Linked DNA regions of Arabidopsis thaliana. The protein of the gene in region 4 interacts with the protein of the main gene of each other region in a biochemical or structural test. Each region holds a gene or a part of one and is shown on either strand. Other genes may lie near its edges.

What was found.
Region 1: the proteins of RBX1 (region 4) and TIR form a complex in vitro, tested with the Arabidopsis thaliana proteins (one study listed by BioGRID).
Region 2: the proteins of RBX1 (region 4) and DET1 form a complex in vitro, tested with the Arabidopsis thaliana proteins (one study listed by BioGRID).
Region 3: the proteins of RBX1 (region 4) and RCE1 form a complex in vitro, tested with the Arabidopsis thaliana proteins (one study listed by BioGRID).

What each region holds. Positions count from the first base shown.
Region 1 is NC_003070.9:27,436,298-27,443,013, reverse strand, and holds TIR (toll/interleukin-1 receptor-like protein), read right to left. Parts: upstream 3,775-6,716; 5' UTR 3,539-3,774; coding exon 3,084-3,538; coding exon of another isoform or gene 3,080-3,083; exon of another isoform or gene 3,041-3,079; intron 2,943-3,040; coding exon 2,867-2,942; 3' UTR 2,550-2,866; downstream 1-2,549. Other genes in the region: AT1G72940 (Toll-Interleukin-Resistance (TIR) domain-containing protein), read right to left, coding at 1-178, 273-736; AT1G72920 (Toll-Interleukin-Resistance (TIR) domain family protein), read right to left, coding at 4,146-4,509, 4,604-5,067; AT1G72910 (Toll-Interleukin-Resistance (TIR) domain-containing protein), read right to left, coding at 6,127-6,716.
Region 2 is NC_003075.7:6,343,138-6,351,746, reverse strand, and holds DET1 (light-mediated development protein 1 / deetiolated1 (DET1)), read right to left. Parts: upstream 5,337-8,609; 5' UTR 5,205-5,336; coding exon 5,133-5,204; intron 5,052-5,132; coding exon 4,389-5,051; intron 4,315-4,388; coding exon 4,123-4,314; intron 3,825-4,122; coding exon 3,756-3,824; intron 3,661-3,755; coding exon 3,604-3,660; intron 3,498-3,603; coding exon 3,417-3,497; intron 3,335-3,416; coding exon 3,173-3,334; intron 3,101-3,172; coding exon 3,005-3,100; intron 2,933-3,004; coding exon 2,833-2,932; intron 2,741-2,832; coding exon 2,601-2,740; 3' UTR 2,433-2,600; downstream 1-2,432. Other genes in the region: AT4G10190 (F-box and associated interaction domains-containing protein), read right to left, coding at 1-819; AT4G10170 (SNARE-like superfamily protein), read right to left, coding at 6,396-7,160. UniProt on the Arabidopsis thaliana protein: Component of light signal transduction machinery. Involved in repression of photomorphogenesis in darkness by participating in the CDD complex, a complex probably required to regulate the activity of ubiquitin conjugating enzymes (E2s).
Region 3 is NC_003075.7:17,338,347-17,346,033, reverse strand, and holds RCE1 (RUB1 conjugating enzyme 1), read left to right. Parts: upstream 1-2,998; 5' UTR 2,999-3,450; intron 3,451-3,843; 5' UTR 3,844-3,885; coding exon 3,886-3,997; intron 3,998-4,084; coding exon 4,085-4,193; intron 4,194-4,287; coding exon 4,288-4,366; intron 4,367-4,463; coding exon 4,464-4,580; intron 4,581-4,659; coding exon 4,660-4,797; 3' UTR 4,798-5,102; downstream 5,103-7,687. Other genes in the region: GGPS1 (geranylgeranyl pyrophosphate synthase 1), read right to left, coding at 1,406-2,521; AT4G36795 (uncharacterized protein), read right to left, coding at 6,873-6,878, 6,912-7,130; AT4G36791 (uncharacterized protein), read left to right, coding at 6,957-7,163. UniProt on the Arabidopsis thaliana protein: Accepts the ubiquitin-like protein NEDD8/RUB1 from the ECR1-AXR1 E1 complex and catalyzes its covalent attachment to other proteins.
Region 4 is NC_003076.8:6,954,386-6,961,717, forward strand, and holds RBX1 (RING-box 1), read right to left. Parts: upstream 3,927-7,332; 5' UTR 3,837-3,926; coding exon 3,701-3,836; coding exon of another isoform or gene 3,647-3,700; intron 3,574-3,646; coding exon 3,523-3,573; intron 3,429-3,522; coding exon 3,369-3,428; intron 2,956-3,368; coding exon 2,884-2,955; intron 2,711-2,883; coding exon 2,639-2,710; intron 2,558-2,638; coding exon 2,520-2,557; 3' UTR 2,275-2,519; downstream 1-2,274. Other genes in the region: AT5G20560 (Glycosyl hydrolase superfamily protein), read left to right, coding at 983-1,996; AT5G20580 (TMEM192 family protein), read right to left, coding at 4,405-4,494, 4,648-4,710, 4,895-4,987, 5,152-5,211, 5,365-5,424, 5,606-5,690, 5,827-5,920, 6,539-6,594 and 2 more. UniProt on the Arabidopsis thaliana protein: Component of the SCF (SKP1-CUL1-F-box protein) E3 ubiquitin ligase complex, which mediates the ubiquitination and subsequent proteasomal degradation of target proteins.

The DNA.
Region 1 (6,716 bases), on a different chromosome or scaffold from region 4:
TGCCCAAATCCCAACCACTCTCAAACTTTTGTTGGAATTCAAATCCAGTTTTTTGTTAAGAGCCTTCATGTGTGTATCAATCCCAACTAGGTTCTTCCCATTGCTTATTGTTGTAACAGTCATCAGATTTTTTGATATCTTGTCAGCAATTTCGTCCACCAGCTTCGCTTCATCTTCACTACAGAGAGAAAACAAAATAAAAAACGAAACTTTAGTAACGATTCAAATCAAATAAAAATCCAATCTTTATAACCAAAGCTACGAAATTTCACCATTTGGATGAACAATCTCCGGAGATACTAGCCAAACTGGTCAATGCTCGTCTCCACGAAGCAACTTTCTCATGATCTTCTTCTCTAGCCTCGTGCTTCTTAAACTGTTCAGCGACATCTCCGATCTGCCTCCTCAAATGACACGGATCCACACCGTAGAAGATAGGCATCACGGTGATGGAACCCTTGTTTTCGAAATCCATAATCTTCACAAGCTCATCGAGACACCAAGGAGACGCAGCGTAGTTTACAGAGACAACAACGACGGCGAATTTCGACTCCTCGATGGCGCGTTTGAGCTCCGGAGAAATCCTCCGGCCATTCTCAAGCTCCTTGTCGTCTTTGAAAGTTCGAATTTTCCTTCGAACGAATTCTTTGTAGAGAAAACTGATGAAGTTGCGACGAGTGTCGACTCCTCTGAAACTCAGAAAGACATCATACTTAGTCGCAGTAGGAGAAGTCATTTTGATTTTTGATTCTCTCTATTGAGAACTTAAGTATGATGAGTAATAGAAATAAAGGACTCAAGGATATTTATAGACCACTAGAGAGTAGTTGAACTGAATAAAGCATGTGCATTGATTAGAGACTCCCATAGTCTTCCTGCTAAAGTGGTGTAATTGTGTATTTCCAGGCATGTTCTATTTTTTTCTTGTCAGCTTCTGTTTTGCTAAACTACTCAGAAAGAGGGGAAGAGAAAAGATGGGCCGCCAAAGTAAGAAAATGATGAGCATGATAATAATAAAATACTACTAACGAACAAAAATTATCATCTTACCTTTTCTGGTGTGTATTATTGGCATTTGCTGGTTTTGATTATCCGATCAAACGAATGGTTGAAACTGACGGACGAAAAAAGATCATAAGATTCAGTTTTTGTCGGCTTGTTTTTTTGTTGATCAACCCAATTTCTTTCATATCTATTCGTGTGCATCAAGTTTATTCAGCTTGACTCACATTTTCCAATAAATGATTTAATTACGTTTGTCTGTGATTGAAATCTTCCACGTACCCAAAAAGCATAAATCAGTGGCTTTGAACTGTAGTAGTATAGTACCATTACACTATTACTATTATTGGAGGATCATCATGTAAAAAGTTTAAAAGCTTTTCTTCTCTGTTTTAGACATATGTAGATTCCAACTTTGGAAAGTTTGCGACTTTGTGTCTCCTGTATTAATTTTTAATTTTATTGGGCATGTCCAAACATCAAAAACCCTCCCAAATACACAAATCTTTTTTTATAAATTGTGTAATCTTTATTTGACAACCAAACTGCCTTTGAGAATTCGGGTATTCAAAGAACAAATGGTCATGGGAATCCCAAGAAATTATACAAACTTTGTTTTTAAGAAAATATAGACTTGAAAGAGACACACAACAAACATTTAGGTTATAACTCAAACACAGATTTGATAAGGAAAAAAAAGTGTATATTACTTAATTTAATGAAGAGTGATATTTGTTTTACACCCCTAGCCACACATCTTATTAAGTTTAGCTAACTTAGTGCATGTGACTAAGGAATTTAAACTTAATTAACTGAATCTGTCACTTTCCCATAACCAGATATACTACTACTTTGACAACAAAAACATTCCGTGGCAAAACTATTTGCTCTACACAAAGCCCGCTGGAACGCAGCAGCTCTCTTTTTAAAGCCCAATGATCGTAAGATTCCACAAAACTTCAAATTCTCAACTTCGTAGACTTCTTTTATACCATAAGAATTCAACAACCCCTTGTTGTCTGTAGTGATGATAACAACACTCCCAGGACCAAAACTGCTGAAATCATCTGCAAGAGCTTCTAACTGTTTAACCTTAGTAACGTCGTCTGCCACAAGCAGAACCTTTTGATTCTTAAGACATTGTTTGTTAGAGTCTTCTCTTTTAATATTTCTCAAAACTCGTCGTGTAGATGAGTGGCGACCCTGAGAAATCGTTTTTTTTTTTTTTTTTTTTTGTTGAAATCCAGGAGGTTCTGAACGAAACCCGTAATCCACCCAGACCCGAAACCACATCATGTAATATTAGTTTCGTCTCAAGCGTCACTCGAACCGGCGACCCTAAGCGAAGCTTTCGCTTAAGGTCTTTACCAATTGAGCTAACGACACTTGGTAGAGAAATCGTTTTCACGTTTCCAAGAAAACAATGGCTGTCAAACTGTTGACAAGATGTCTGATAAACATATTTAGCTAGAGCTGATTAGTTCCTTCATGTGTGTATCAATCCCAACTAGATTCTTCCCATTGTTTATTGTAATGGTCCCTCTTCAAAACCAAAGAGAATTCTAGTTCTTAGAATTGATAAACGATTGTTAGTTAAGACTACCTTTTGTTTTGTTTTTCATTGATATAAATACTTGGAGTACACCTCCTTACAACTAGAAACAACATGGAAACAAACGTGGAGTAACAACTTCTACAAACTTGGAAAAGATGGAAACTGTAATCGTGGAAGACTCCTTGCTTATTGTAACTAAATCGAAAACAGAGACTAAGTAAAATGACTTAGTGTTGGGAATACTTTGGATTGGGCATGCGAGTCCTTATGGGCCTTCTCCTTTCTTCTTCTTCTTCTCGTCTGGACTCATCATATTGTTGCATAAATCGTCTTCTTGTTTGATATCTCGTTAGCAATTTTGTCCACCAGCTTCGAGTCATCATCACTACAGAGACAAAACAAAAAAATCCAAACTTTAGCATCGATTCAAATCAAACAATAAAAAAATTCAATCTTTTTGATTCAACTCAAATCTTAACAAACCCTAAAAAAAATCAATCTTTATCACCAAGTTACGAAATTTCACCCTGAACAATCGCCGGAGAGTTGCGCAAAATTGGTCAATGCTTGCCTCCATTTAAGAACTTTCTCAGGATCTTCTCTACTCGCATGTTTCTTAAACTGTTCAGCGAGTACTCCGGTCTGCCACCTCACATGATTCGGTTCCACGCCGTAGAAGATGGGCATCACGGTGATGGAACCCTTTTTTTCGAAATCCATGATCGTTACGAGCTCATCGAGACACCAAGAAGACGCAGCATAGTTCTCTGAGACAACAACGACGGCGAATCTTGACACCTCGATGGGGCTTTTGAGCTCCGGCGAAAACCTCTGGCCATTCTCCAGCTCTTTGTCGTCTTTGAAGGTTCGAATGCTCCTTCGAACCAGTTCTTTGTAGAGAAAACTGATGAAGTTGTGGCGAGTGTCATGCCCTCTGAAACTTAGGAAAACATCATACTTAGTTGCAGTATGAGAAGACATTTTGATTTTTGATTCTCAATGAGTGATAGAAATAAAAAACTCAAGGATATTTATAGGCACTACCACTACAGAAGTTGACCTATAAGAGTCTTCCTACTGCTAACTGTGTGTTTCCTGGCATTTTCTATTTTTTCTTGTCAGCTTCTGTTTCACTAAACTACTCAGAAAGAGGGAAGAGAATAGATGGGCCGCCAAAATAAGATAATGAGTATGGATAACATATTAACGAACACAAATTCTCCTCTTAGTCTAGTTTTCTCGTGTATTGGCATTTAGTTACTCGTAGTCTAATTTAATTGGTTGAAGAAGATTCAACTGTTTGTTTGATTATCGATCAAACGAATGGTTAGAACTAAGTCAATTGACGGACGAGAAAGGCTAATTGATAAGGATGATTTTAATAACAATTTCAAGTTAGAACGAATAGGTTATTACATCAAGTTTATTCGGCTTGACTCACATTTTCCAATTTGGGTTATTGGTTTGGTTGGCTTACTCATCTTTATAAGATCACAGCTAACTAGTGGTGTCAATAGATGATTTTGTAGTATGGAAACATAACAAATGTGGGGATTTCTCAGTGAAATTCGGGTTATTGATTGGCTGGCTACTCAGTTTTAAAAGAGTGATGTGATCTATGAAGCAAATGTGCAACCTTCAACCAACGAGTTAAAACATAAAGTTTGGAAGCTGTCTTGATATCTTGATAAACCTTCAACCAACCAACCTTCAACCAATGACAGATGTCTTGATAAACATATTTAGCTAAAGCTGATCTACCATTGTATCCTCTTGCCCAAATCCCAACCACTCTCAAACTTTTGTTGGAATTCAAATCCAATTTTTTGTTAAGAGCCTTCATGTGTGTATCAATCCCAACTAGGTCCCTCCCATTGCTTATTGTTGTAACAGTCATCAGATTTTTTGATATCTTGTCAGCAATTTCGTCCACCAGATTCGCTTCATCTTCCCTACAGAGAGAAAACAAAATAAAAATCGAAACTTTAGTAACGAGACATATCAAATAAAAATCCAATCTTTCTAACCAACGCTACGAAATTTCACCATTTCAATGAACATTCGCCGGAGATACTCGCTAAACTGGTCAATGCTCGTCTCCACGAAGCTACTTTCTCATGATCTTCTTCTCTAGCCTCGTGCTTCTTAAACTGTTCAGCGACATCTCCGATCTGCCTCCTCAAATGACAAGGATCCACGCCGTAGAAGATAGGCATCACGGTGATGGAACCCTTGTTTTCGAAATCCATAATCTTCACAAGCTCATCGAGACACCAAGGAGACGCAGCGTAGTTCACAGAGACCACAACGACGGCGAATTTCGACTCCTCGATGGCGCGTTTGAGCTCCGGAGAAATCCTCCGGCCATTCTCGAGCTCCTTGTCGTCTTTGAAAGTTCGAATTTTTCTTCGAACGAGTTCTTTGTAGAGAAAACTGATGAAGTTGCGACGAGTGTCGAGTCCTCTGAAACTCAGAAAGACGTCGTACTTAGTCGCAGTAGGAGAAGACATTTTGATTTTTGATTCTCTCTATTGAGAACTATGATGAGTAATAGAAATAAAGAACTCAACGATATTTATAGACCACTAGAGAGTAGTTGAACTAAATAAAGCATGTGCATTGGTTAGAGACTCCCATAGTCTTCCTGCTAAGTGTGTGTTTCCTGGCATTTTCTATTTTTTTCTGTCAGGTTCTGTTTTACTAAACTACTCAGAAAGAGGGGAAGAGAAAAGATGGGCCGCCAAAGTAAGAAAATGATGAGCATGATAATAATAAAATACTACTAACGAACAAAAATTATCATCTTACTTTTCTGGTGTGTATTATTGGCATTTACTGGTTTTGATTATCCGATCAAACGAACGGTTAAAACTGACGGACGAAAACATATCATGAGATTCAGTTTTTGTCGGCTTGTTTTTTTGTTGATCAACCCAATTTCTTTCATATCTATTCGTTTGCATCAAGTTTATTCAGCTTGACTCACAGTTTCCAATAAATGATTTAATTACGTTAGTCTGTGATTGAAATCTTCCACGTACCCAAAGAGCATAAATCAGAAAAGCAGGTTAAAAGAGTTTCTCATTAAGGGAAAAAAGCGAGAAACTTGTCAGTGGCTTTGAACTGTAGTAGTGTATTACTATTATTGGAGGATCGTCATGTAAAAAGTTTAAAAGCTTTTCTTCTCTGTTTTAGACATATGTAGATTCCAACTTTGGAAAGTTAGCGACTTTGTGTCTCCTGTATTAATTTTTAATTTTATTGGGCATGTCCAAACATCAAAAAACCCTCCCAAATACATAAATCTTTTTTAAAAAATTGTGTAATATTTATTTCTATAAGGAAAGAACAGTATATTACAAACAACTGGCACATCCAGATGTAAAAAAATGTCTTAAAAACTAAGGAACAAAAAAATGTATATTACTTAATCCAATGAAGAGTGACATTTTTCTACACCCCAAGAGCAACCCACTCCAAAAATAGACAAAACAATATTATTTCTAAGCCACACAACTTATTAAGTTTACTTAACTTAATGCATATGACTAATAAGGGATTCAACTTAATTAAACTAAATCTGTCACTTTCCCATAACCAGATATACTACTACTTTGACAACAAAAACATTCCGTGGCAAAACTCTTTGCTCTACACAAAGCCCGCTGGAACGCAGCAGCTCTCTTTTTAAAGCCCAATGATCGTAAGATTCCACAAAACTTCAAATGCTCAACTTCGTAGACATCTGTTATACCATAAGAATTCAACAACCCCTTGTTGTCTGTAGTGATAATAACAACACTCCCAGGACCAAAACTGCTGAAATCCCCTGCAAGAGCTTCTAACTGTTTAACCTTAGTAACGTTGTCTGCCACAAGCAGAACCTTTTGATTCTTAAGACATTGTTTGTTAGAGTCTTCTCTTTTAATATTTCTCAGAAACTCGTCGTGTAGATGCGCTGAGTGGCGACCCTGAGAAATCGTTTTCACGTTTCCAAGAAAACAATGGCTGTCAAACTGTTGACAAGATGTCTGATAAACATATTTAGCTAGAGCTGATCTACCATCGCCTCCTCTTGCCCAAATCCCAACCATTCTTACAGTAACTTTGTTGCAATTCATATGCATTAATCGGTTTAGTTCCTTCATGTGTGTATCAA
Region 2 (8,609 bases), on a different chromosome or scaffold from region 4:
ATCTATATGGAGTTCCTGAATGATAGCAACACATATTTTTGGATCTTCTCTAGTAACTGCTAAAGCAAAAACAGGATCAGAGAGATGATCACCCGGAAGAGACACCCTTACAAATCTCTCCGTTGAAAAATCAAAACCAAGTAAAAAACTACTACTGGTCAAGTCTTTATTAGTAGAAGCAAGCCAGTAAGTGTTTCCATTCACAGACATGCCACGGTCCATACACCTTGGTATGAACCAGTCTGTAATCTTACCAACAACTCTCCACGAATTAGAGTTAAAGTCATAGATTTCGTAGTTCATAAATTCTGGCCTATCAGGATAAAATTGATCCATCCTCATGATTTTGTACTTGTTGCATGATGATTTACCGAGAGCAAATATATCGAATTTCTTGTAGAAATTTCTTGGTTGGATCCACTTAGTATCACGAGAACAGGGATTCGAAACAACGAGTCTATTGTCTACGGTGGTGCATAGCAAGAAGCCGTCGCAATGAAAGACGTTGCATATATCAACTTCTTCTAAAAAATTTGAAAGAGGATCTTTCAGGCGAAGTTGACTTATTATGTTTACCTTGTTGTTGTGAATTGTATGAAGATCGACGCTCACGAGATAAACCCTAAAGGTCATCAACATGATAAGCAGAGAGTGCCTTGGTGCATTAGTAAAGTGCTGCTCAGCAAATCTCTTATCTTCGATCAGAACGTTCCATCTTTTGGATGTAGATTGTAATCGGACCAAAGTTACGGTCGGAACCCTCGCGAGTATCTCCATTACCAAATCCTCGGGAAGATCTACTATGTTTCTCTTCGTCATAAGCTTTAAAGACAGACTAGGTTTTTATGATACCTTGAATCCAAAGAAACTAGAGTTCGGAGATGAAAGTTATGACTTATGAGATCTACAAATATATATATTTGTGAGTAAGTTACAACTGTCGGTCAAAATTACAATTTCTTTGTTTTGTTGTTAACATATATACTAAAGGTATGTTATTGGTTTATGATTTAAATAGAGTTTTAGTGACTTAAAATGTTATGTAGAATATGTTGTTATTCAATAAGATTTTTTGAAAAATTTGTTAAAGTTTTGTATTATTAGTTTAAGATTTGTGAAAAGTAATCTAAAATCTTCACAAATCTGGAGTTAATGGATTAATACTTTCATAAAGTCATTAATTTTTTTTGTTTTATTCAATTAAAACAAAAGAATCTACTATTGTAGATGAATTAAATTGTTTTGTAATTGGTTTATGACTTTCTACCATTTGTTTCACAAAATAAAGTCATGAAAATATCATTAAAATATAGAGATTGTTTGGAAACTTTATAAGATTGTAAAAAACCAATGTTCAAAAAATTGTTAGGCGTTCGATAGGGGCCTAACGCCTAGATCAATTAATCGGGGGCTAGGCAAAGCCTAGGCGTTAGCACATCATTTTACAAATTTATTAAACATTTTCATAATTTTATAACAAAACATTGGTTAAAATATATGAAATGTTGAAAATATTACCTATTTGAATTTATAATATATGTATATTCACACAAAATTTCTATGAAAACTAAATTAACTTATTCTGAAAATTTGAGAATAATTAATTGCTAACTTACAAGTTTAGTAATCAAGTACTTTTACTTTATTTTTCACTTATTCAAAACGATCATATTTACATATACTAAACTGGCCGATTTGACCGGTTAATACTGATTTTGAACGCTTAAACCGAAAACCCTATTTGATTCACCGATTTCACTAAAATCGGGCCGCCTAGGCCGATTTTTTGAACCTTGTGAAAAACTAATCAATAATATTATTGAAAACTCTCTACAAATAGTTTATAGTTTAGAATCTTTCATTTATTTACTTTATATGATATTATTAAAGTCTTCAAAATTTCTTTTTAGTTAGGAACCAATAACACCTCCTAGTTATTTCTTCCTTTTTAAGATTCAAACACTTTTTGCATGTATTATGTGTTTTGAGATACAGTAAAACCTCTATAAATTAATAAAGATGGAAGTATGATATTTTATTAATTATAGTGATTAATAATTTATCTATAATTAATATATTAATTTAAATTTAAATTATTAATTTATAGAGATATTTGTTTTAATTTTTCAAATTTTAGAAACTATGAGATGTTATAAATTTTATAGTAATATAATTGAAAATTTAATATTTAAAAAGCTCATTTGACAATAAATCACAAAAACTATAATTGAAAATGATGCATACTAAGAAATTAGAAACTTACAAAACATTATGGCTAATTTTTTTACAAAGTTATAAACGATTCTATAATTTGACAATTGAAAACCCCAACATAATTCAATCAGACTTAGAGACAAAACAATTGTTTGATAGAATAAAAGTTAGAGACAAACTCTAACAAGATTCAATACTTAAAAGACATTAAAACCATATTTTTATATAAAGCTTTCCAAAAGATTATTATATTATTATTTTATCGAAGTTTGTTAATTTTTACATCGGCCCAACTCGGAATTTATAGAGGTTTTACTGAACTTTTGTTACAAACAATAGATTACAACATGTAGGAAGACTACTAGACTGATAGAAACCAAAAAGAGTCATCGCCTAAAATGGATATTGACGACAGAAGGTGGCATGAAAAGTGTTTGTTGAATAGAGATGGCAAGTGGTAAATGAGGATGGAACAAGAATGAACATATCTTCTTGCTTCGACCATCTGCAGTTCCACACTCTGGTCCTGTTCACCATTAGACAATCCTAACGTTAAATCATGTTCCGTGCGGTTTGGGTTTTCGTCATCTTAATATCTAAACAACTAAAACAACCAACCTGGTTTTATCTTGAATTTCAGGGTTTGCGGTTGCCTTCGAGATATGAACTTGATTGGGTTGTCTGAGGATTGCCTATGCCTATCTGCTGCGGATATTAACTGTAACCATATCCGAAATTAACTTAACTCAATCCTGAAGTTGAAGAGAATAAGGGTTTATAGAATGGTTACCTTTTCATCGAACCGGAAGAGAGACTGGTCGAAATATGGGGAGGGACTTTGTGACTGACAACTGAAAGGCAAAGAGAGTAACATCTTCTTCACAAACTGTATAGAAAAATTGATTAGATTCAACTCTCTCATAAAAACCAACATATCGAAATACAGAGATGTACTTACCTGAGAAAAACTGTTTGATTTGTTCTTCGTGTATTTTAGTTGTTCAAGGGCATAGACGTTGTTAGAATGCGATGTTACAAAGTTCATGAACGGTGTACTACTTGATACTGTAAAGTGATCACTGAACTGCTCAAATAATTGGTAAAGATCTTCTGCTGAGTTCTGCATATAGTAATGTACTAAGTCAAGTTATAAGTAGATGCAAATTCCACAAAATAACTGGCCAAAATGACATCCATTTTACCTGATAGAATGCTACAATGTCAGTAGTCTCCATATTATACACCGCGAAGAAAGCTGGATGATGATCAGCACTTCTTGTTACCTGAGTAACCCATCAACAATCATAAGTCTAATCAATCAAATTGTAATTTCTGAAAATGACAGTATCAGTTCAATGTAACCATGAATTTGTATTATAGAGAGCTTACCCCACCGTCTACACTTCCAAATTTGATTAGCAGGTGTTGTCGATCCAAAAACTGAACCTGGACATCAAGAATACACAAAAGATTAGTTTTTTTCACCATCAAATCCAAACACTTGACACAGATTCCAAAAGCAGAAACACATAATTGATTACCTTCCATATAATCAAGTCGACATAATCCTGGAAATGGAAATAAAACTTCTTCTTAAGACTTTGAACTCTCTGTCAAATCAAATAGTGCCTTTCGATTAGTTCGTATCCAAGATGTAGTGTTTCAATACGACACACATTGCAAACTACAACGAAAGGTCGAAAATGCAAAGAGCATGTATATGATAAGCTGCATCAACTAAGAAGTCACTGTCAACTGCATCAATCCTAAACCTTAAACTTCTGTTATCCTACTCAACATCTAACAGAGGAAGCCAAGCAGTACACAAACATAACCCATTTAATGTACAAGATTGTGAAACTCAGAGCAATTTCATAAAGTGATAAGAGAAGTTGAAGAACAACGAACCATTACGTTATCTGATTCTTCATTCCAAATCTCCCTGAAGATAAAAGAAAGTAACCGTTGCTTAACACCACTAAGAAACGAATTCGAACCACTTGGCTGACTTAGACTATGACGCAACCCATTCTCTCCAGTATCATCTTCCTTACTCCCAGATAAACTCTGCTGTTTACTCTTATCTTGACTCATCATTGCCTAACAATCAAAAACCTCACAAAGCTCAAAACTTTATCTACTCCAGAGAAAGATACTGTAAAAACTTTGCTTACCTGAGAGCTAGAATTGAGGAAAAGCTCATCATCTTCACGACAAAAGTAACCAATAGCACGAGCATCAACAAGATGACCAGAATCTCTAATCTGAAGAAGATGAATCCTCTGATAACGCAACGACAAAATCGCTAAAAGATCATCATAAAGAAACACACCCATATTATGAGCCAGATTAACGAAATCATGAAGAAAAACCCTCTCATCAAGAACAACACCATCATCTAATCGAAGAAGTACGAAAGTAATCTTATCAATGGAAGGAACACCAGGAACAGCGTCATTAGAAGGAGATGATGAATCATGGATCTGAGCTGTTGAAGTAGCGAAAAGACCGAAACGACGAGTTTGGTGATAGAGGAAGAAGTCTTTGCAGATGAGTTCGTTAGAAGAAGCGAGATTGACTGAGTAGAGTTGAGTGAAAAAGCTGTCGAATTTCGAAGCACGGCGAGGTAGAGGAGGTAGGGTGGTTGTGGAATCATCGGTTGTGGAGTAAGTGAGCCAAGAAGGACGATAGACTATGAGTTCTTGATGGTTACGGCTGAAACTAATGAGGAAGAGTCCGTCTTCTGTGAATTTGCGGAAACAGTGATCGGGAGATTCGACATCGTAGAGTGTGTAGCTTGGGACTAGGTTTTCGTAGAAGTGTCTTGCACGATTTACCTATCATTGAAGGTAAAGAGATAAGCAAAAGAGAGATTGAGATTGAGAGATTGAGACAGAGAGAGAGATTTGGGGACTGACGGAAGCGCCGGGAGGAGGAGTTCGAATCTGACGTTCGAAGACCCGAGCGGTGACGTTACCGCTTGTGAACATTTGTTGGCCCAGAAGGGCACGAATAAAGGAAGGTTTTTGGTCTGGTTTTAGTGGTGAAAATGGAGGAGACGATGTGAGTGAGAGAGAGAGAGAGAGAGATACTGTGGCTTTGTTTTGGTTCTGTTGATTTTTCTCTTTTGGGAGGTTGGTTTCTCTCAATCTGTTAATGGGCCTGATATTGGTGTTTGAAAATGGCCCAATAGTTGCAAAATTGGGTCATTGGCACTTATCGGTACTACTTCCTCTTTGTACAATTTCTCTTGTTGTATTGCTTTGCTTAGTCGGAGCTTAAGTATGGACATTCACATTTTGGATCGGATTTTGGATCGGATTCGGTTCGGATTTTCGGATTCAGATGGGAAAGTTTATTATCCGGTCGGGTTTTATGACTATTCGGTTTGGTTTCGGTTCGGATAGTGTCGGATTCGGATCGGTTTTTGAGAAAAAAAAATATATATTGTTCCGTTTTAATAAAATTGGTTTAATTTTGCAAAAAAAATTGTATAATTGTAACAAATATAACTTAAAAATTCGGACGTATAAACCTGTAACTAATATTTTTGTTATTTAGAAATTTTTGGGTATAAACCTGTAACTAATATTTTTAGATAGATATAATTTTATTTCGGATTAGCGGATATTTATTCGGTTTTTGATTCGGAATCGGATTCGGCTGAAGTAATTTGGGTAGGTGAATTCATTATCCGTTCGGATTTTGTGACTGTTCAGTTCGGTTTCGGAACTTTTTTCGGATCGGTTCCTATCTACCTACCATTTTTTACTTCCCATTTTGTTGATCGGTAACAACAAGAACTGCAGTGGCAATACACTTGTTGGAACGAATCATACAATCAATACACTTGTTGGTAAAGCCTTATGCATCTCAAAGCCAGCTTCTTTGCTAGTGAGGGCCTTACTTAGGGAACTTGAAAGAGGATTGAGTTTGAAGTTGAAGCTCAAACAATTTAAATCATATAAAGATGGACGTTACTGTATCGTGAAGTCACAAAGAACACTGAACAGAATCTAGAATCCGACTGTACATATTTCAAAGCTGTGACTAAAGCAATACATAAGCCAAATTATAACTTAAGAATGCTTCACATTACAATCAACATATTTTTTGCCTATTGGAATGCACAAGGGAATGTAAAGAATCGACTCTGTTTATCCGATTTTCTGTCTGCACAATCACGAACGTGTACACTCGATACCCCGACATATAGCCAACCAAATACCAAACAGTGTCAAGCAAATAGCTGCATCAATAGCAAGAACAATCTGAACTAACCGCCGCCATTTCCATTCAAAGCTTTGAGTAACAGAACGTCCACTACTCGACACACACTCCTTCTCCAACGACGTTCCAGCTCCCGCTGAATCATCGGTTATGTTCCCTCTATCATTAGACTTCCTGTGTTCCTCAAGCTCAATCACATGATCTTTCCCTTTCTTCTTCTCTTGCTTACTTAACCTCCCCAACAACGGAGCTTTAGTAGAATTCGAACCTTCGCTTTGTTCACCAAGATTACTACTCTTCAATTCATTGTTACTACTACTCTCAGCAACACGTTCAAGAGAAGCTATAAGTCTAGTAACAACAGGAACAAGCTGATCTTCAACATTAATAGAACCAATCATAGCAGTAAAACTTCCTCTAGAATTCTCCCTAGCAGCTTTCTTAAATTCATCTCTCAAATGTTCAAGAAACTTAAGAACACTAGATCTCTTCAAAACCTCATCAACAATGGCGAAATAAACAAACCCATCTCCAATTAAAAACCCAAATCTTCTTTTACCAATAGTTTCAAAGTACCAAGTATGAAAAGGAGGAGACTTTTCTAAACACAGAGCAGCAAGACTCTCGTTGGTTTGGTCTCCACCGTTGTAAGAGTAAAGAATCTGATTGTCTCTTGAGACACAACAGTAATGAACTGTGTTCTTGATTAAACCCATCTTTTTTTTTGTTTTTTTAAGAAATCAAATTGAGACAGAAGAGGAAAGAAGAGAAGTCTGTGATTAGAGCAAAGAAGAAGAGAGAAATTGAGATGATGGAGTCAGAGAGAAAGTCAAAGAGAAGAAGAAAGTACCAACAAAATCCTTCGGCGATGTCTTCAAAATCGAGGATGAATTCTCTCATTCCTCTTCTTCTTCTCTCTAGGGTTCTTGGGTCATGTGTGAGCTTTTTGTTTGAGATGTTTATCTTTGTGATGAAAAAGTCAGAACTCGACGACCAAACTAGAGGACGTGGTCCACAACACTAAAAAAAATGTATTATTATTTTCTATATGTATGTAACAAATCGCAAATAAATTAGGGGAAATTGATAAAACTAGCATGATTTTTTTTGGTTAAAAGTATAAAATTAGCATGATTTCAAGTTAAAATTGGTAATGAATCAAATATTCATAAACATTTAGTAGAGATTTATACGCTCAAAATTAAGTAATTAAAGATTATAATACTATAATTAATTTAATGATAAAGACCGTAAAGACAATGACAAATTCTTGGCGAACTAAACAGAAATAGCGACGGACAACAAAAAAGATAACATTTTTGGACAAGATCTTATTCGATTAATAATAATTTAGGGGTTAACACACATGAGTAAGATCTCTTTCGCATTCGCTTGACGATTTTGATTGCGAGAGATGAAATTGAAAGAAGAAGAAATAAAAGTAGATGATAGAGATAAGATATCGTATAAAATCCCTTGAAGTTCTTTGACTTGAAGCTTCTGGTTAATTACTTTGACAAAGATTAGATAGTGAGAAGCGAAAGAGATGAACTTGATGTCCAATGCGATTGCAACTCCAACGGACAATTAAACTATTCATTTCTGCTAAATCGAGTTATTCAAGCTTAAAAGCGTTATTATAGTTAAGTATGCATAGATCATTTTTGTAATTCAATTTGGTTTTGTAGACTCTCTGTCTTCAAGAGGTGTAGTAGACGGTATAGTTCAGATGAGTATAAGAAACTGATTAGGTGATGCTAGCAGGAACTGATGTGGTTGCCGAAGTCCGGCCTGGAAAATTTTGAAGTCCTAAAGTTTTATTGTTGGTTCTTGCAGATAATTCACTTTCTTGGATCCTTTACTAAATTTACATTTAAAACTCAAGTATTTGGCCAGTTATCGGTATTACAAATCAATTTCCCAAAATTGCTTTCGATATTTCTCATAAAAATGAGCTTTTTTAAAAAAATGATGGACTCTTAAGCCATGCATATTTTTAAAAAATGATGGACTCTTAAGCCATGCATATTTTTTTCCATCCCGCTTGGGAGTTGGATCGGACATGAACTACCGAGATCATACATTTTGATGCTTAAGCCAAGACATCTTCCATTAACATTTACTCATTTAGGCTAAATTTTATATTTCTATTAAATAGATTTTAA
Region 3 (7,687 bases), on a different chromosome or scaffold from region 4:
ACTGCTGATTCAAATTTGATGGTGATGGAGATAATAAAAATTTAGTGTGTGTTTAAATCAAGATCATGTAAACCCTGTTTAAATATGCCTTGCTATGTCAACAAACTTATTTTATACTACATAGTTCCGACTCAACGATTATCTCGGTCTAATTAAGACATGAGACATCACATAAACCATTTTGGTACATCTAATTTTCACGTACGTTAGAATATTTTTTATAATGTGATATTCTTATTAGACGAATCTATGCACATCAGCACATGGCATATATGAATAGGAAATGAACTGAAAACATAGATTCACAAAAAAAAAAAAATGAAAGATATTATTAAGAAAGTGAGAATAAAAATCCTAAATTTTTCACGCTACCTGTACCAACACCACAAGACACGGATATTCCGAAAAGAACGGAAGCCATTACACATTGATTATACACCATAAAATTTTATTACTTATATGAGTAAAAAATTGATTTTAAATAAATAAATAAAACGGCAAGTTGTGTACGGAGCAAATGTAGCAAATCCTATGCAGAAGTCGATCGTACAACAAGATTGAGATCGAATATCGCATTGATTCCAATAAGAGAGTTGGTGAATCGATGTATATGGTTTTAGGTTGGTGGCATATTTTATTCAACTGAAGTTGCCATTTTTTGATGATTCTCGAAGATTATAGACTTAAGACTTAATTAGAAGTTATAATCATAGTCAGTTCCAAAAAAAAAAAAATATATATATATATATATATATATATCAGATTTCGAACTAACAGTAGTTTGCTATTCAATAAGTGATTTTCACGATGAAAAAGCCATAAAATAAAAATAAAAATTGTTGGTGCCAGCTAGAATAAGACTTCGAATAAGCAGAATAAAATGGTACTAAGCAGAATTAAATGGGCTTTTTGGAACTCTGTTTTTGGATTGGGCTTTTTAATTTGGGAACCAACAAATGAGATTGGCCCATTCAAGAAACATATAGTAATAATTATTAATGTATTGTATTCGCCTCGGTCCATCTTAAACTCTGTATGCTCCGTTGACTTGATTGGTTTTACGCCCCAAAACAACGCCGTACCTTTGGATAACTAATCTGAACACCAATAAGGCAAGAACTAGCGAATCTATCAGATCCAACCAGAGTTCCTGTCCTAAAACACATTGTTCATCATTACAAATACGAGCCAAAAGAACAGAGAGTTTAATACTCAAAAAGACTGAAACCAACCAGGGACTCTATTACAGACACATGAACCTCTTCATATTTCATCCATTACTATCCAAATTTTTTAGTACATGAAAACATAGAGATGATTACACCAACAAACTCTAGAGAACCTGTCCGAGATTTCTACAATTCCAATCTAATAATGATTCCCGACAAAAGGAATCGAACACAAATCAGTTCTGTCTATAGGCAATGTAATTAGCCAAAGCCAACAAAGGAGCAACCTTATCAGAATCAAACCCTAAAAGCTGATCACGAGCCTCTCTATTCAATTTCTCAGCAAACTCTCTCGATTTCTCCAAACCCATAATCTTAGGATACGTCAACTTATCAGCAATCAAATCTTTCCCAGCAGTTTTCCCTAACTCTTTCGACGATTTCGTCACATCCAAGATATCATCAACCACCTGAAACAACAAACCAATACATCTCGCAAACTTTCTTAACCTCTCAATCTCATCATCACTTCCTCCACCAACAATAGCTCCCAAAACAGCAGAAGCTTCAAGCAACGCCGCCGTTTTATGCAAATGGATAAACTCCAAATGCTCTAAACCGACGTCGTTTAAATCTAACCCTTCACTACTAATATCCACGACTTGACCCGCCACTAACCCTTCTGTTCCTATCGCTTTAGCCAATTCTCCAACGGCTCGAACCACTCTCACCGGAGAAACAACATCAGAACTCGTCGCCGAAGCTAAATGCTCGAAAGCGAAAGAGAGAAGCGCGTCTCCGGCTAAAACAGCGACGTCTTCACCAAACACTTTGTGGTTGGTCGGTTTTCCACGGCGGAGATCGTCGTTATCCATACAAGGGAGATCGTCGTGGATCAACGACATGGTGTGAATCATCTCGACGGCGCAAGCTGCTGGCATAGCGGTTGATTCTTCACCTCCGACGAGTTCACAAGCAGCGATGCAGAGAACTGGTCTAACTCTTTTGCCACCGGCGAGAAGAGAGTAACGCATCGCTTCGTGGATCTTGAGTGGCTCACGGAGAGGAACAGCTGAATCTAAAGCTTTGTTGACTAATTCGGCTTTGGTGATGATGTACGACATGAAATCGAAAGAGGATGGTTCAGATTGGCGTAGATTGTCTTCTTTTGTAACAACGGAAGAAGAAACGATTGAAGAAGATGATGAAACGGTGCGTTTTGATCGAAAGGAGATGGGTTTAGTAAGAGTTATAGGACAAGATCTGGATCTGGATTTGGTAAGGATTGAAGATGGATGATGATGATTGTGGTGGTGAACAACAATCCATGAACCTAGAGTCACTGAAGCCATGGCGATTTCTGAAATCTGAAATTTTAGATTTGAGAATTTTTTATATTAGTATTTATTTTTTTTTGTTTTTTTTGGAAAGTGGAGTCAAAATTATGAATGGAGAATTGGATTGGCCATTAGTGAGAAGCTAGGAAGTAACAGATAGGGTTGTGTTACGGAATGGGCCTTGTTAGTGGTGGAGATGACGATCTTCACTTTTATTGAAAAGCATCTTTTTTCTTTTTTCACTGTTTTTGTTTTATTGTTTTTAAGTCCATGGAAAATGTTTTTATAGCATAAAGATGATATTTTTCTGGCTTAGATTACAGATAAATTACTTGTCAGTTTTTTAGATTTTTTTCTTTTTATTTTCAATTCTATACCACAAATATATACTATTGTTGTTTTGGTAAAATATCAAAATCTTAAACACATAAATCTCATCTGTTATTTTTTTCTATACCACACATTGAATTTAGATGATTACGTAGTGATTAATGATTATCTTGTTTTGTAGATTTGTTACACGAAATTAGTAAAAATGGCATAAAAAATGCATACGGGTCACAAGTCCCACTTGTGGACATTTTACACGAGCTCGTTGATCTCTGACAACTGCTTGGTTTTAACTTATTAAAAGCGCGCAAACTACCAAATTTATTGTTGGAAGATAGATATAACTGAAATGGGCCTAACGGGCTTTAATGGGCCAAGCTGGAACTCAACAAACAGGTACGAGATTTTTGAATTATTCTGATTCAGCGTCGAGAAAAAAGCTACGATTGTGTGTTTATTATTATTGCAACCATTTCTCTGCTGTTTCTTCGTCGTTTAGCTTCAGAGGACGACAATCCGGTAGGCGAGAGAGAGAGATTAATCAATCGGCGACCTTTTTAATTCGCTCGTAATTCGTTTTGATTTTCGTGTTTTTGCAACGAATTTAACAACTTGTAAGCTTCTTCTTCTTCTTCCTTCATTCTCTTTGTTTGATTGTCTTGGTGTTTAACTTTCGATGTTTCGACCTAGTCGTTGTTTTGAGATTTCTGATTCTACTTATGTGGAAGGAAAGTCTTCGATCTTTGAACCTGTTAAAGTAGATTAGCTTGTCTTGTAATAACGCGTTTTCATTTCTGAGATTTTGGTTATAGCTTTGTTTTAGGGATCTTATGATTTGGGATTCAATTATTGTGTGAAAGTCTAATAAGCTATGTTACCAAGATTAATATAAAAGTGGGCATATGAGTTTAGTTGCAGTTGTGATTTGATATATCGAAAGGATCGATTTTTTAAGGTCTTCTTTGATCTGTCATAGAATTAATCATTCATTCTTTGATTTGTCACAGCTGTGTGTGTGGGTGTGAGTTTCTTAAGAGAAGTCAGAAACAATGATTGGGTTGTTTAAAGTAAAGGAAAAGCAAAGAGAACAAGCTCAAAATGCTACTAGAGGAGGAGCTTCTGTTAAGAAGCAATCTGCTGGCGAACTTCGTCTTCACAAAGGTATATAAATGCCTTGTTGATCTTTTTTTTGTTCTTGCATCTCCAAGTTTCAATTTTTGGTGTTTTTTCCGATTTTGAACTGTGCAGATATATCAGAGTTGAACCTTCCTAGCTCTTGTTCAATATCTTTTCCAAATGGCAAAGATGATTTGATGAACTTTGAAGTATCCATTAAACCTGATGATGGATATTACCAGTTAAGTAGTGCTTTTTTTCCCACTGAAACCTGCGTTTTTGTCTCTTAAAAACTTTTTGGAAACTTATTTGTTTCTTTCTTACCAAATAAACAGCAATGGTACGTTTGTTTTCACATTCCAAGTCTCTCCTGTGTATCCACATGAAGCTCCAAAAGTTAAATGCAAAACCAAGGTAGGCCTCTCCTCCTTTTACATGCCTTATATAGTTTACAGCTTCTACTTCAAAATCGTTTGTGTTGTAGAAACTCTTTGTTGGTTTTCTTGTTTAGGTTTATCATCCCAATATCGATTTGGAAGGAAACGTTTGCCTGAACATCTTGCGTGAAGATTGGAAACCTGTTCTTAACATTAACACAGTTATCTACGGACTCTTCCATCTGTTCACGGTAATTAACCGGACAGTTCGATCAAACAAAGGTTTTTGTGTTATTTGGTTTCTGAACTGAGTGATTGTTTTTCACACAGGAACCCAATTCTGAAGATCCCTTGAACCATGATGCTGCAGCAGTTTTGAGGGATAACCCAAAGCTCTTTGAGACCAATGTTCGCAGGGCCATGACCGGTGGATATGTCGGTCAGACCTTTTTCCCGCGTTGTATCTAACAAAGCTCTGGTTTGTCTTCTTCAAGGAAAAAGATAAGAACCAAACCCTTTGTCCGCCATTGTATTTCTTCTCTTTCTCAAGGACCCTCGTTTGTTTGTTTGATCTTGTAAAATTACATTCCGCGTTAAAGTAACCCTTTCCTTATATCGAAATCTTGTCAACTTTAAGTTCGTGAGAATTCGATAAAGGAGACTAAAAGGAATTGTATAACATGTTTGATCTTTGTCATTTCTTGGGTTCCTTATAAATCATTTGTTTAAATTTCATTCGAAATACTGTTTGAAATATAGCCTTCATAACTGGATTTTTTTTTGTTTGGTTCGGGTTTGCTAAAACAATATTCTTGTTTCAGGTTTAGATTAAAATATAAATCACATCTATCCTATTCGATTTCCATTTTGATATCTAGAAAATAATCGATTTCATTCAACGTTTGATTCATATTTTTGTACACACGTTTTGATTTATTCGGTTTTAAAAAAAGCTTCAATTCTGTTTTAAAAAGTCTTGCTATGGCCTAAGGAATAATATGAAAAAACAAATGTTTACAATCCCTAACGACTAATGCTAGATCCAAATTCCTGTCTTTAATCATTATATCAATTTAGTATTTTGATTAAAGAAAAATAATTTTAAAAGTCCGAAAAGACACAAACTCAAAATTTTAAAACTATTTTTGAAAAAACAAATGAAAACCTAGAATGATTAATAATAGAAAAAACAAGTTGAAATATTTACAATCGCTAACTACTAAGGTTGGATCCAAAATCCGGTTAGTTTTCACATAATTATGTAAATTTTGTAAAATATTATGTAAATTTAGTATCCGAAGAAATATATTTATTTTTTTTCTGAAAAAACAAAACAATAAAAAAGCTTTCACAAATTAGAAAGAAAAAAATTAATAATTTAAAAGATATTTTTAAAAAATCCGTAAAAACTGAATATTAATTCTACATAATAATGGGAAAAATAAGTTAAATGGTTGGAATCTCTAACGACTGAAACTATATCCAAAATTTGGTTAGATTTCTTATCATTATATATTTTATTTTTAAAAACAAATACAAGTTTGAAAAAATTTATAAAATTCCAAAGAAACAAAAATAAGTTAAATGGTTGGAATCTCTAACGACTGAAACTATATCCAAAATTTGGTTAGATTTCTTATCATTATATATTTTATTTTTAAAAACAAATACAAGTTTGAAAATTTTTATAAAATTCCAAAGAAACAAAAACACAATTTTACAAAACCTGAATTAAAAACTTGAATTCTAAATTTAGATAACAATAAGAAAAACAAGTTAAATGTTTGGAATCTCTAACGACTGAAGTTGTATCCAAAATTCCGTTAGATTTCTTATCATTATAAAAATTTTGAATCCAATATTTTTAAACAAATACAAGTGAAAAAACTTATAAAATTCCGAATAGAAACAAAAATACAATTTAAAAAATCTGAATTAAAAACTTGAATTCTAAATTTAGATAATAATAGGAAAAACAAGTTGAATGTTTGGAATCACTAACGACTAAAGCTGGATCCAAAATCCGGTTAGATTTCATATCATTATATAAATTTAGAATCCAAATAAATATTTTTATTTTAAAAAACAAAGCTTCTAAAAATCCGAATATAGACTAAATAAATTTTTAACAACTATGTTTAAAAATCCGATTAAAATTTTGAATGATAAATCTAAATAATAATAAGAAAAACAAGTTGAATATTTGGAATCACTAACGACCAAAGCTGGATCCAAAATCCGGTTAGATTTCTTATCATTATGTAAATTTTGAATCCAAACAAATACTTTTAAAAAAAATCAAACACAAGAGGAAAAAGCTTTTTATATCATAATAGCAAAATAAAAGTTTTAAAAATTATTTTTTAAAAATCCGAATTAAAAATTTGAATGATAAATCTACATAATAGCTGGATCCAAAATCCGGTTACATTTCCTATCATTATGTAAACTTTGAATCCAAATTTATATTTGTATATATTATTTTAAAAACAAATACAAGTGTAAAAAGCTTATAAAATCCGAATAAAAACAATATCACAATTTTAAAGCTATTAAAAATTAATAAAGGGATAGAAATTGACCTGTTTCTTAATGGGTATCTGAATGGGCTTTCTGTTGGGCTGTTTATGAGAATCCAATCCAAGACGGCAAGACCCAACGCTGTTATTGATCCTTATCTCCCGAACCAGAGCATTGAAGATCCGACGACGTCCTTTGATGTCAAAGAAAACCTCCGAAGACGAAGGAGTATGAGAGAAGATATCGAGAGACGAAGGGAGAATAAGAATCAGAAACATCATCTTCTTCCACCACGCTACGAAATTCGAAGATGAAAGAGAAGCAGGAATCGACAAAGAGAATCACTTTGTAATTTTCCCGAAAGTGATCGTGACCTCTCTCGACATGGCGTTGTTACAGTTCGGCGATGTATATGGATCATCAAATTTCACGGTCACGAGCGATCAACGATTCTATTTGTAAAACCGTCACAGAGAAAGAGAAGAACTTTTTAGGGTTTAGAAGAAGAAAAGATGAATGTTTATAAAGAGAGGTTCACGCAAAAAAAAGAAACATTAGATTATTATTTTCCATTTTTCATGATTGGACTTGTAAGAAAAAAGGAAATTGATCACGATTACGCTCCGTTTACAACGGTCTTATTTTTCTAACCGCAATTACGGTCACGTGTTCCAAGTTTATTCAAGTTTCAGGTTTAGATTCAAAATTTCAAATCATATATACATACGTTTTGATTTATTCGGTTTGATCAGAACAAAAAGCGTTTTCAGCTTTCAAATTCAGTTGGTCTCGGTTAAAAGTCCACCTTTGCTTCACATAGTGGTTTTAAAATCGTTTG
Region 4 (7,332 bases):
AGTATGAGTCTTTAGCCATATTTGTTTGTGTTTAACCCCCTTAATTATTGAGGTAACATGACCCCATACTTCATACTGTTTTTAGTTCAAAAACATTATTTCTTTTTAAAAAATATTTAGTTTACAGTTTCATATTTCATGCAAATATTTATTTTTAATTTTTTATCGAGGTATCAAATGATATACATGCAAGGCTGCAACCAAAACAAAGATCAACCAATCAGAACACTATTTTTGCATTTATATCTTTGGTCTTAATTAACATGAGAATATAAACAGCGAGTTAGCAACATTCATTAGGATTTTCCTGTTTAAACTCCAGATATCGAATTGCCATACCGCAATTTTTTTGAAAACCAACAAACTCTTCGATTCAGCAACAGAACATATTAATTAGCAATGGATTTGAATTTGTTTTCGCTAAAGTGAGTTAGCAACATTCATTAGCAAAGTGTCGTCTTGTCGAGTTGTCGTGGTATTACCCATCCGGTGGGTTCAATTCATATTGTGTGTGTTGTATGTGAAATTAAAACTGTTAATAAGACAAAACCAAATTTGTAAATAATTTGACAAGTATAAGGTCTAATCTCATAAGAGATAAACAAAATAGAATAAAATAAACTCAAACTTGCAGAGATAAACAAAATAAAATAAAATAATTAGGAAACATATCATATTTTTTTTTTTATAGGAAACAGATCTTAGACATGTATAAGGTCTATCTCACACTCATTAAACAGGGAACAGTATCTCAGACATATATAAACTCAAACTTGCAAGCTTACACGAAACAAAACAAAAAGAAAACAAGTTTGGTTCTTTTCGTCTCGGTTCTTCAGGCAAGTATATATGATCATGTGGTGGTGTTTGAGTTTCTTGTATGTAAATGTTATACGTCTGTAGATACACTCATTGTATATATCTAATATTCTAATACAACAACTTTTCTGGCGCTATTGATTTTGCAGAGACAAGTTATATCATGGAGGACTATTCTAAGAACTTGTTCCTATTACTTTTCTCATGCACAGCGTTGATTATCAGCTACTACAACGTTGATTCTTTAAGTACTGCATCAGTCGTCGGATTGAATTACGGACTCCTCGGAGACAACCTCCCATCTCCGTCCAATGTTATCAAGTTCTACAAATCTCAAAACGTTGCGAAAATCAGGATATTCGAGCCAAACAAAGACGTCCTAAACGCTTTGCGTGGAAACCGAGATATTGGAGTCACCGTAGGCATCAAGAACGAAGACTTGGAGGCACTTGCAGCCAACAAAGACGCAGTTAAATCCTGGTTCTCCACTAACATTGATCCTTACATAGCCGACGTGAACATAACATTCATTACCGTCGGAAACCAAGCCATCCCGGGCGACAAACATGGCCCTCACGTGCTTCCTGTCATTCAATCTCTCACCGACCTCGTCAAGTCAAGAAATCTCCAGATATCAATCAGCACCACGGTCACTACGACGAGCCTCGCCAGGTTGAAACCGCCTTCTGCAGGAGTTTTAACACCCCAAGCACGTCAACAGCTTGTCCCCGTGCTGAGATTGTTGTCTCAAACAAGTACACCGATCTTCGTCAATATCTATCCTTACTACTTCCATGCCTCCGACCCAAAGAACGTCCCTCTCGAGTACGCCAATTTCAATAACGACCAGATCGTGGTCAAAGACGGTGCACTAAAATATTCCAACTTGTTTGATGCAATTTTCGACGCTTTTCTGTGGGCAATGGAGAAAGAGGGAGTGAAAGGTTTACCTTTGGTGGTGTCGGAGACCGGGTGGCCCTCTGCCGGGAATGGAGGCATGACGACACCGGCTCTTCAATATACGTACATTGGTAACTTTGTGAAGCATGTTGCAAGTGGTAAAGGAACGCCTAAGAGGCCAAATAGTAGAATTGATGCGTATATATTTGAGACGTACAATGAGAACCAGAAGCCAGTTGGAATCTATCAGCATTTTGGGTTATACGATCCTTACTGAGACGACGCCCATGTACACGCTCTTCTGATCCTCGATGTTGTGTTCAAGTGGTCAGTTTTTACTGTTTCTCTTAAGAATCTGTGTTGTCAAAATAATGCTCTAGTATTGTTTGTTTAGGGGTTGAAAGACCCATTTAATAAAACTTATGGTTTATAATCTAAGTGGGTTTCGAGTTAGCCTTATTAGAAATTTCACTTTAGTATTTGGAACTACTAAATTGAAGGAAAACACAATTGAGGATCAAAAGAGCGTTTGGTACCCAGCTCCTATGTTTTTTTACGAGTAAAAAACTCTTTGCAGGATTTTTACTTTTTAATTTTGAAATCAAAGACGTCACCCAAAGCACAACCATAATAGGTTTAGTGAACACTGAACAGTAAATCTCTGTTTCCACAAATTGTAAAATACAGTACCAAAAAAAGGGCAAAAACTTGAACAATCTTTAGTTATCATATGCGGTGGTAACCAAATGAACCTGATGTCTTCACGATTAGACACATGCTTGCTGGAACCATTTGTTGATTTAGTGACCATATTTCTGAAACTCCCACTCACTGTTATCTGTTGAAACAACTCAGCAATATTAGCAAACAAACAAAAACTGCATACTAGTCAAGAAGCTTAAAACCAAGAAACACATACCCAATGGACAAACTTGACGAGTCTTTAGCCATCTGCTGATGCAGTGAAAGTGGAAGGCGTGATTGCAAACCCCTGCAAGTACATATTGAGTATCTTTCGTTAGGGAAGGCACTAAATAATTTATGTATATCCACTTGAGTTGTCACATTATAGAAAAAAGATTCGAAAAGGTCATCACACAATCACATACATCTTAAAGGAATACTTCCTACTTTCTCTAATACTTCCTAGCTAACAAGATTCACCCTCCAAGTGGTCATCTTTCATTGAGCAATCAAGAATACAGAAATACTTATTGCAGTTATTTTGGTCGTCCTCTGAGTTTTTAATTCATCATCAATCGTACAATCAACTGCAAGACTATGAAAGCATGTAAACACAATAACTACAATTTGGTCTCTCTCTCTCTCAGAAAATCTTTAAAACTCCATAAATCTAATCAACTGTACTACTCATCGACCAATCTAGATTGCTGCAAAACAAGGAACAGGGTCTGCTCTCAAATAAAGCAAAGACATCTATCAGAGTGATACTACCACATAAGTAAAATTCAATGTCAAGTTTTAAAACACGCACTCAGAGATACTAAAATTGTTTCACACAACACTTTCGCATACAGTTTTGTGTTTCTAGATTCACAATTACGATAGCTACAATTATAAACCAAATCAAGTTTCCAAACAAAAAGCAACGATTGAGATCATGATCATAGAAGAAGAAAAATGCTTACCCCAAGCTACAGTGCACTCTTCACTTGTGGCACTGGCCTGATTAGCCTGACACTCGATACCTAACAACAAACCAAAACACAAAAACGAAATAAGCATAAACATTCAACATCATCGTTACAAATTCCAAAATCAATCGATTGTTTTAAGACTTACAAAGATCCATGATGTGGTTTCTGCAGATCGCACAGTTGTCAACAACGATATCTGCAACCAAAACAAAGATCAATCAATCAATAAAACTCTTAACCTAACCAAAAATTAACATCGTAACACAAACATCGAAACATCGAAAGACCAATTGAAGATAGTGTATAAGGATTTTCGAGGTTACCCCAAGCCCAGAGAGCAACGGCGCTCCACTTCTTAATTTCGAATCGCTTAGCTTTCTTGTTGGAAGACGACGCGGCTACGCTGCTGGAGGCTTCTCCGGCAGGAATCATGGTAACGTCGGAGTCTAGAGTCGCCATTAATCTCTGATCGGAAAGAAAATTTAAACCCTAGAAAAGCCGGAGAAAAATATCAACGTTTGAGCTGTCGCTGATTTTGTTGTAGAGAGAGATTGTAGAGGAAGAAGAAGAGAGATATATAAAGCAGCTTTGGGCTTTGCCTGTATAGTGGGCTTTCGTCGGAATTAGATTCCCGTAAATTTCCATAATTCGGTTTAAGGTTTCCTTTTTTTAATCTTACTCATCCTACGATTTACATAAATATTTTAATTTTTCCTTTATTATCCCAACGATTTTTATTTATTTAATTGATAAATTAAATATTTTTAAGCAAAAAGATTACGGAAAATATCTATTTTATATAATAAAAAAAACATATATATATATTTTTTTCTAACTATTCCCAGAAGATTTACAATAACTATATGACTAATTAACTAATCATTACATACGCTTAGTTCAAATTAACTGGAAAATCATTACATCATAAAAGCTTAGCGTATTCAATGCATCAAGATGTTAGAAAATAGTGTCAAGATATTTTTCTACAAGCCATAAGAGTTGCATATAGTTAGATGATGTATATGCTTCATGCCACCTGCCTCTGGTCTCTGAGAGCTGAAACTTTCTTCCGCAGTTCAATATTTGATATTCTCTCCACCTCCAGAGCTCGTTCAAGCTACACAATCCGTTGGTTTTGGTTTAGCCTCTCATAGTAAACAAAAGGGTTTGAATTCGATAAACTCGATATTGGCTTAAGATTTTTCACTATCATATTGCTGCATCTCTAAAACATACAATGAAGAGAGAGAGAGAGAAGAGAAGATTGTACCTTTGCAGCTCGCATACTCCATTCTCCAAGAATAGCTCTTAACCTTTCATTTTCTGCTACATACTGTTTCAGGAGTTTCAAAAACAAAAGATGATGAGTTCAGGGATCAGAAAAAATGTGTAGCCCTTGCAAATTGTTTGATGCAAAAACAATTCATGGTAAAGCTGTGTTGATGATAAACATGATGTGATGCTGTGAAAGTATGTTTTGTTCTCATATGTTCTTATGTTTATAGATAGACTCGAACCTGATTATTGGTATTCCGGACGTGTTGTATCTCTCTATCTCTCTCAGAGATCAGAGATCGAGCGAGATTAAGCTCTGAATGGAGTTGATCCACCTGCAAGACACACAATTTTCATTTAAAGATGCTACATCAAGGATACTAGCCTTGAAATGTCAATCAACTATGATATGTTTTCCACCAAATGGGTAAAAGAGAGATGAGAAAGAAAAATTAACCATGGGAATTTGCAAGTTTATCATTTGTTAACCGAGCTTTACCTCAGCAGATAGTGTTCGTAATTCCTGATCTCGAGTTGCCACAAGATGCGCCAGATCAACCTGAAAGTTTAACATTTATCAAATGCAAAAATTAAAATCCCAGTGGAAGGAAAAAGTTATACATTACTTTTAAGAAAATTTATTAAGAATGTTGTTAGAATGTGTACACGCTGATAAAAAGAAGTCAAAAATTCAGAATGGAGCAGTTCAAACCTGAGGCGTGCTACTACCATTCGTTTCATATTTACTTAAGGACTCCTGCAAACGCAGAATCTGAAACAAAACAAGAGAGGTCAGAGACTCACTCTAACGAAAGCATGGGAAAATTCAGAAAATTAGGGTAGACAATGAAGAGCTAGAGAGAGCATTGAACTTAGAATTACTAGTAAGAAACATCACAAGCATCAAGATTCAGAAATGAAGTACTCATGATAAATATTCCATGGATTGTCACCTCTTCACTGAGATAATGGAGATTCTCGCGTTGATATTGCAGTAGAGCCATTTGTTGATCAGAAAGGCGACCGGCTTCATGGTATCTGTGTTTCAAGCAAAAAAAACGAAGTAAGACTTGAGAATTGTAAAAACATTTGCCATTTGCAATATAAGGTTGCGAGGTAAAGCAAAGTTTTCATGAAGACTAGGAATAAGGTTTCAGTGAGATTGTGAAAGTACCTCAATCCTTCCAAAGCAGCTGGTTGAAGAGGAGAATATAATGAATTTAAGACATCGGGCTGAGAATTCACTGAGTTATACTGGCGAACATAACCTACCAGTATTAAAATACAGATAAGAACAGCTGCATAATAACCTAGCAACAGAATCTCTTACTAAAGACAAACAACAGAAATATTGTAAGGAAAAAAAGATGCCAAAAGAACACAATATGCTCTAGCCAATCGTTTTTTGAAGACACGGTATGGAAATTTCTGCATCAAGAACAAAGAGTTTTCAAACTGAAACCCAGAACACAAATTCTTAAATGATCTCCTGATACTCAACCACAAACTATAGCCAATTGTAAGAACTGTATACATGATAAATGTAAACACAAATGTATGGCCGCAGATGTAGACAATTTTGATAGTGATTTAGCATGCATATGATCGCGATAGATCCCAGATGCAAATATGCAATGGAATGGTTTCAGTTAGTACACCATAAGAAATGAAAACTGATTATAAATCTGACACTTGGCAATCATGGCATGAAAAATTTAAGATGAAGAAAAACCATCACGACGTAACAGCTGAACCTGGTGTATTTCATATATCTCGCAAATGGAAAGCGAATCGATTTGGCACTATACTGCTCTATTTGAGATACTAAAATGAAGCTCAATGCATGCCTGATAGTATGAATATGATTATATGGACCTTATTCTTACCAACAAATACAATCATAAAAGAAGCAGCAGAAATTGCTTCAACAGACATGATGAACCTGCAAAATAAATATACTCGTAAGCTTTTTCGACCACGCCAAAACTAAACTTACTTCACCCAGTTGTTCTAAAATAAAAATACGCAAGACATTGTCCAGTTCAAAATCCTATTTCTAGTCAATGGCATCAATATTAAACTTCTTATATGCATTCAATTTTAGCTAAGATATTGGTAAATAAGTTAAGTCAAATTTCTCAACCTGAGTAAATGAAAACAGATTCTCATTAACTTAGACGTTTCACTATGACACTATGTGATGTGCAATAATTTTCTTAGCGAGACAAGTTAAAGGCTTGAGTCAGAATCTTCCTACCATTCTTTATTGTCAAAGACAAAAGAAAGAAAACAGAAAATGTGATCAACTGGAAAAGAAAAACTCATAAGAGTGTAAAAGCAGTTAATGTATAAAAAGAAGGCTGCAGACCTTTGCACAGTAAAAATGGGTAGAACACTGACATATGGTCTCCACTCCATGAAAAGTAGCATAGATGCAGTCCCTAGAACAACACGGAGTCACTTTATTGAGCACAAGAAAGGTATATATGTAACAATTTATGACTAGGAAAGTAGCATTAAAGATTACCATAGGCCATGATTGCAAATGGCAGACGAACTACATGTTTCAGTTTCTGACTGAAACTGTAATAACCCTGCAATGGAAGGTTCTTTCAGATGAAATGATTACAACTACACTAGAGAATATCAACCTATTTCTATACGGTTTACAAAAGAGATA